Coturnix japonica: one gene and its partner. The protein of the gene in region 2 interacts with the protein of the main gene of each other region in a pairwise test. Links are inferred from orthologs where the notes say so. Each region holds a gene or a part of one and is shown on either strand. Other genes may lie near its edges.

Region 1 (3,911 bases), on a different chromosome or scaffold from region 2:
AACAACACGGGCACACAAGAAGGGAGCTGAAGAGCCGCAGGGCTGTGCAGGTCCTATGGCCAAACTGAGCTCCCCTGTGCCCATAGTGCAGCACAGGGCAGAGGAACACAGCTGGGATTAACCCCAGCCTGGCTTATAAACATGGCTGCTTTGATTCGTCCGAATGGACAGGGGTCCCCGCGGGCACGGATCGACATCACAGAGCAGCAGCGCAGGGGGCCCTGTTGGTGGGGATAATCCCTCCCTTGCAAGGCAGGCACTGAAAGCTCTCTTTTGTCCTGCCTGTCTCTAACACGGACCGAAGGGAAGCAAAGGAGAGGCTGCCCCATGCGGCTGATTCACTCCCAGTCACCTTTGGAGGGCTCAGATTGTACCTGAGCGGGGACTGAGACCTGGGGAAGGCTGAAGGGGAAGGGATGCCTCGTCCTAAGCTCCATCGCAGCTGATGCCGCCTCCTTTGTCAGCAGCCACAGACTGAAATCACCCATTGATCCCTGTCTCCTCTCGGCCCAGTGCACAGGATGCGTTTTCTGAGCTGCTCATGCGTGACGGGCAGCAGGGACAGAAGGAACAGTGCAGAGCCCAGGGCGGCAGAGGAGGAGCAGCGGGTGGATGAGCCTCAGCCCCCTGCTCACCTCCTGCAGGACATCTGTAGGCCTTGATTTCACCGCACGTTTGGTTCCTGGCTTTGCAGGCTCTTCATCTGAGTCGGAGTCCGACAGCAGCCGGCGGTTCTGGGCCTGCTCCAACATGGCTCTGCAGGGACAGAGGGCAGAGCTGGGGGTGAGGGATGGTCCCTGTGCTCCCTGCTGGATGCTGCTCCCCACTGCTGGAATTCAGCACCAGGACCCAGTCTATGTCCCACACACACACAGCCCTCAGGCCCTGCCCTCACTGCACAGTCATTGGGGTGCTGAGCAGATGGTAAGATGGAGCCCTTCCCCATAGGGCTGGTTTCACACCCATGGCAATGCTTCCAGCCCGCTCACTTCATCTCCTGCTCATCCTCCTCCTGCTCCCTGCGTTTCTGCTCCTCCTCGTATTCCTTGTACTGCTGCAGCATGGCCTCGAAGTCAACGTTTGCCTGGCGCTGGTTGAGCTCCTTCAGCTCCTGTAGGTTCTCCAGAACTTCCATCTCCAGTTTGGAGTCCTTGGTTCGGTTCTCCAGGACCTAAGGAACCAGAAGGAAGCTGGGTCTACACAAGGCAATAAGGTCCAGCACAGCCTCATGAGTGTGGAGAAGCGACGAGGCGACCTGCTGAGCAGGTACAGCCAAACAGGGGAGGAGAGAGCTTTGCCTTCTGCAAACAGCATTTTCCAGTACCTTCATGGGGTTGTTCAGCTCCTCCTCTTCCCTCTCCTTCTGCATCCTCTTCTCCTCTTCCTCCAAGAGCTTCTCAGCTTGGAAATTCCGAGTGGCTCCATGTTCCATGGTGTAATCCGTGTTCTCAGGGTCTGTCTAAGGGAAAAGTAAGGCAGCAAATCTTGGAGCAATTCCACCCCAGTCACAATGTGGGGCAGACAAACACCTGCAGCCTCCTGCTCTGCTCCAGATGGACTCAGGGCTCAGCCTGTGCTGGGACAGCCGTGTTCCCCATCAGACTGAGCTCAGACCCACATCACCTCCCCATGAAGCAGAAGAGGAGAAATCAGTGCCAATATTTCACCTTGAAAGTGGTCTCTGCCAGACACCATGTGCACTTGACGTAGAAGCGGAATATGGGCAGCCCCAGATACACCTCATTCTGAATAGTCTCCTTCTGGGCATTGAACTTCTTCCACTTGTAGATGTATTCACCGCACGTCTTGCAGCTAAAGGAGGAGCCCAACATTAAGAGATAAAAGAGACAGCACAGACCATGAGCACATTCACCCCTTTGGATACGTGGAACCTCCAGCCCCTCTATCACCCATACAGTCCATTCCCTCTCCCTCCTTCCTTCCCTTCTCTTCCTCCTTTCCTTTCCCTTTCCCTTCCTTTCCTTTCCCTTTCCCTTCCTTTCCTTTCCTTTCCTTTCCTTCTCTCCTTTCCTTTCCTTTCCTTTCCTTTCCTTTCCTTTCCTTTCCTTTCCTTTCTTTCCCTTCCCTTCCCCTTTCCTCCCATTCCCTTTCCCCTTTCCTTTCCTTTCCTTTCCTTTCCTTTCCTTTCCTTTCCCCTTCCCCTTTCCCTTCCCCTCCCTCTTCTTCCTCCCTCCCCTCCCCTCCCCTCCCCTTCCCTCTCCTCCCTTCCCTTCCCCTCCCCTTCCATTTGCTGGCTGTATCCCTCAGCTCTATGTAGGGTCTATAACACCCCCCCACCCCTCTCACCGCATGTTGAACGGGGCCATGAGTCGCACCACGTACTGTCGATCCTTCGGGAGCTTCAGCTTCGGGATCTTGGCCGGATCGAAATCCGGCGGGTAATATTTCTACACGGACACAATAGAGCGGCGCACAAACGGACACACGGTCACCGATCAGCTCCTGGCCGGGCCCCGAGGCCTGTCCCAGCCCCCAGAGCGCCCCGTGCCCACCGGGAGCCCTGAGGACGATGTGGGGCCCCCATAGACCCCCCAGGGCACCCACACAGCCCCCAACTCACGTTTAAGACTTTCCGTTCCGACATGGCTGCGCACCGCTCTCAGCTCACAGCGTACACGGAGCTGTCCGCCGCCGCCCTCCGCTTCCGGGATAGGAATCCCGCCCCCTCCGCCTCTCATTGGTGGAGAGAGACGCGGCCTGAAATGATCTCTCGTTTTATTGGTTGATTCTGACGCCAATCAAAGAGCTCAGCCCACTTCCCGGATGTTAGTGTGCCACAGCTTAAGAATCCGCCCTGCGCCGCGGCCTGAAGAAAGGTTCCGGGGTGGAGAGGGGACGGGACGGAGCGGGGGGTGAAACGGGACATGGGGGGGTTGGGCCAAATGGGAACCGAACCGGGACCTGGGGCCCAGGTCAGAACATGGGGGGGGCACAGAGGCTGTCAGCAGCGTGGGGGTCTGGGATGTAGGGCCCAGTGTAGGTGCTGGGGGGCACAGCGCCCTCCTTAGGGACCGTGTGATCTATAGGGCCGATTAAAGCCCCCCTGCCCTCCAGCTGCCCCCACACTGTGCCGGCCCAGCTCAGCGCCCCACAGCATGTATGGCTTTACAGAGAACATCACAAGTGTGGGGCGGGGGCAGAGTCCCGGGATGGTTCATTTATGGGCTGTGTGTGACCAGAGATGGAGCCCCTCCGGTACTGCCCATGCTTGTGTGCCTCAGTTTACCCCATCCCATCCCATCCCATCCCATCCCATCCCATTCCATCCCATCCCATCCCACCCCATCCCACCCCATCCCATCCCATCCCCAAATCCATCCCATCCCATCTCATCTCATCCCACCCCACTCCATCCCACCCATCCCATCCCATCCCACCCCATCCCCATCCCATCCCATCCCAATCCCATCCCATCCCATCCCATTCCATCCATCCCATCCGCATCCCATCCCACCCCATCCCACCCCATCCCATCCATCCCATCCCATCCCACCCCTCGCTGCCTCCCTTGCTCTGAAGGTTGGAAACTCCCCCGGCTGTGCCTGAGAACCAAATCCAGCCTGGGGATGGAGTGACTCAGTGCCTTTGTCTCAAAGGCAGTGATGTCATCTAACCCCTGAGAGCCTGCTGTCCCTCCCCAGCAGAGCCCAGGATGGGAACCTGCCGGCTCCAGCACCTCCGAGGCTCCTGGGCCAACCCTGTGCTTCATCAGCAGGGTGGGAGAGCCCAGTTTATCCCCACAGGCCCCACTGCACCCCACAAAGGCAGCAGCCCATGGCCTGGTGCTCTGTCCTCATCGAGCCCCCCAGCCCAGCACTCCTGTCCTCGCTTTGAGGCCACACAGCTCTGCTTCCACTGCTCCCCGTGCAGTGATGATGGTGGATGGGAGC
Region 2 (3,811 bases):
TCATAGACAAGAGCTGAGTGCTGAACTCTGAGCTTCTATGGTGCCAAAGGGATTTGTGGCGGAATAAGAACCTGAATGATATTGCCTCGCTAACGGCATCATTTCCAGGGCTATCACAGGTTATACTCTGCAGTATTAAAATATTACAGGCTACCGCATCCCAAGGAGAATTCATTTTAAACTAGGCACTGCTCATTGAATCTTCTGTACCATAATTCCTCCCTGAGTACCTCTCTACATTGCAAGTATAACCTCTGGGCAGCATGCTGCACACACTGACTAGATGATACTGTAGTGGCACAAAAGAAATAAGCAAAGGTAATTTGGTCTTAAAACAGACCACCTTCATCTCTTTATTTTTGTGGCAGAATGAACTATAAAAGTTGTGACATAGCAAAAAGGACACTGAAATAAATCTTCTGTCTGAGCACATGCTTTCACCGAGGCCCCACATGGTCTCACTTCTCTCATAACCCTGCTGGACTCTCTCTCACAACCCTGATCAAGCTCTCTGTACCACATTTTCCTTCCTGTTCTACACCAGCTACTATCTGACTATTGCTGATCTAATGTATAGTAACCTTAACCCTCCCTCCCACAGTTACCCACAGAACAGTTCCAGGACTCCAGCATTACTCTGGCAGGGCTTCCTAAGTATGCTGTAAGAGGACAAAAAGGATAATTTTCTGGCATCAGAAAGCTGCTGTGCAGCAGGTATTCACCAACACAACCATTCAGGACAGCTCAGCACCAAAAAACAGTGCTGGCATCAAACTTCTGGAAACCCTCTTTTCCTCTCCCCATTCCAGAGCACATTCCCCACTGGCTCTTCAGAGTGAATGGCTCCCTCTTCAGTGAGCACCTGGACCTGACAGAACCACGCATTTACCTCCTCAAATGTAAGGCAGATAAAGGTTGGTTGAACACCTGGGAAGACCTCTTTTTTAATAAAGCTCACTGGTCTCCTGGCCCTCCAGCAGACTTAGAAAATGCTTTAAAGAGAATACAGTGAGAATGCGAGCAGGCTGGTACAACGTGTGGACATTTATGCAGGTAGTGTGTGATGTCAATGTGAAGCAAGGTGCAAGTGTGTGAAGGGGGGAAACTGGATGCTCCTGTGCCCTGGAAGTACATAACAGACGGGGAAATTCTGAGTTCTCCTCTCAGTGCTAAGCTCTCCTCAGAGCCCCAGGCCTGATCCTTCAGAAAGTGAAAGAAGGAAAGGGCTCATCTGTTATGCAGGCAGGTTTTCCTCACCATACAGACCTGGTGAGGCTGTGCAGCAGTCTACATACAGGTTTATGCAGAGAATGCAGAAAGCACTAACAAATCTTCCTGTAGTTCCACTACTCCAATGCTAAAGCTGCCAGTTAAAGCCCTAATAGAAGTTGTATTCCATAAGATTTTTTTGCTGTGTGTCAGAGACTGTGCTGGCCCTGTTGGCACTGGTGTGTCATTTAGTAACGCTTTACACACCAGACTGAACTTACTCAGAGATCTAGCCTGCATAAATGGCAATAATCCTTTCCTCACTTCTTCTAACTCCAGTCCTAACTAAGCGTAAAAAAGAGAGATGGGCTACAAAATGCTCGTGCCCCTACAAGTGGACTGTTTCATTTGAAAAAGAAAACAACATCCCAGTGTAACAAACAAGGGAAGGAAAATAAGGGTTTCTTGGACAAGAGCAGGAAAATCTCACATTAACATATTGTTACATGCACATCTGGACGGTTCTTTCAACAGCTAAAATGAACAACAACGTTCTAAGTTAGTAAACAAAATGACAAAAAATAATATAAAACAACAAGGAAAAAATCTGTATTTTCTCTAGCCCTTAACTCTGGCTTGCCTAATTGCACCCTGAAACCTATGGCTTGGAAGTAAGCACAGGACACATCATACAAGAAATTCCCAGCAATGATGAGTGAGATCAAGCCTGGGTTTAAAACTGGAAAGTATTTTTAAGGCTTTGTCATCACCCTTCATCCTAATGTCAGGCCAAAAATGATTCTCTGGCATTAATATTTCAACACATTGGCAGAAAGACCCAATTCTTGACTGCTATGACCATTCAAAAAAGCTGAGACACATTGCTTTTCCTAGCTAGATAACGTGGAATAAAGCTCAAGAAACCAAAGCAACACAGACATAAGCTGCTAGCATAAGTATGTATTTGTTTACATTCCTCCAAACTATACCTGGCTACTGGTTCTGGGATGGTCCCTGGGCTAACTGGCACCTGCACTCCCTTTTCCCACTCCTGCCTCCAGGGGTCTGCCAGCACATAGTATTCATCAGGGTTCAGCTGGAAGGAGTCATGTAACTTCATGGCAGTGATCAGGTCCGTTCTGAACACCTGCAAAGAGAGTGACCAAGAGAGAAAAATAGAGACACTGACATTTGATATTTACACTCTATGATTCACAGCTCCAGGGTAACCATGGAGCGCAGCACATAATAAGGTCACTGTATCAACAGTCAACTAACCCATCCCACTGCAGGACAGAAGTTTAGCTTCATTGCAGAAAAAGGGCTGGCAAAAGGTGCAAATGCTGACGTGATGACTTGAGTTGCCTCCTCTGTGAGTCCTAGTGTTCCCCCCACACTGGACACATGATGCTACCCAACTTGACCTCCCTCTTGGCTACAATAAACACCACACCAGCTTTTAGTCCTAGATCAGCAACATAAGGAAGACTCAATTTGCTCAAACTACTTCTTAAAAACAAACAAACAAACAAGCCATCTATTGGAGCTCTGACTAACCCAAAGGCATTCTATAAATTCCCTGTGATGGAAATCAAGGCATGACTCCACCATGACCAAATACAAGAGGAAATACTACCAAGATGACTCCTGCTATTATTTAAATGACTCTTCCCACATACTCTTGCCAGTATTTAAAACAATAACCCAAAAGATAAACAGAACAATCCCAGATGTGAGTTCTGGTGGTAGCTTGATGTTCAGCAGATGTGCCTGCTACTCTGTCAGCTACAGACACCAAAGCTGTCATTTTACTTTGCTTTTGCAAAAGCATCGACCTCTAAAGCCAGCAGTATCTTTGCCAACAACTGGGTTAGCAGTCATCTGCAAGCAGTGATGCCATCTTCCATAAGCCACAGAGTGAAATCAAAGAGATCCGCTCCTGTAGCAGTCATGGTGTGCCACTGCTGTGGTGCTTCAGCCACAACTCGTTTGCCATGGCCTGTCAGCACTTCAGAGAGCAAAGAATGGTATCAATGGTGTCAGAGCTACAAGTCTGTACCTGTCTGTCCATCGTCCAGCTCTCCCCACCCTGCTCTCCCTGCAAGGCAAGGCTGCTGTCAACCACAGCGCTATACATTGTTACTATAAAATGTTGTGTTCAAAGGAAAGGATTAAAAAACAACGAAGCTACAACAAAGGTGAGCACCACTGAGACAAGAAGGCAGTAGGCATCTACCCAGCCCCACACTGCACAGTTATTAAAAAAAAAAGCACTCCTGGACTCTTATGGGGATCCTAACAGAGCAAAGTTACAACCTCCTGGGCCTCCAACCAGTCCCAAAACAATGGTGGTTTTACATTAATTCCAGCCAGCAGCTGCATATGGCTGAGGAAGTGTCTAATTAGGCAGGCCTCCCAAGGACAGCAACTTCTGTCATACACTAGTCACACACTAGTCACACACCTGAAATCTCAACACATTATCTATGCTTTTGGGGAAGTATTTCAGGGGAACAACAAACCTGATGGCTAATCATACTTTCAAGACTATTTAAAACTATTATCTGCCTTACAATGCAGCCTATCCAGTCACCTCTTCCCC

What was found.
Region 1: the proteins of JADE1 (region 2) and YJU2 interact in a two-hybrid assay, tested with the Homo sapiens proteins (2 studies listed by BioGRID and IntAct). The two-hybrid records come from large-scale screens. The link is inferred for Coturnix japonica from reciprocal best matches to the Homo sapiens genes JADE1 and YJU2.

Annotation. Positions count from the first base shown.
Region 1 is NC_029543.1:756,245-760,155, forward strand, and holds the start of YJU2 (splicing factor YJU2), read right to left. Parts: upstream 2,694-3,911; 5' UTR 2,606-2,693; coding exon 2,582-2,605; intron 2,409-2,581; coding exon 2,308-2,408; intron 1,813-2,307; coding exon 1,668-1,812; intron 1,460-1,667; coding exon 1,325-1,459; intron 1,172-1,324; coding exon 990-1,171; intron 757-989; coding exon 636-756; intron 1-635.
Region 2 is NC_029519.1:30,507,713-30,511,523, reverse strand, and holds part of JADE1 (protein Jade-1), read right to left. Parts: intron 2,357-3,811; coding exon 2,199-2,356; intron 1-2,198.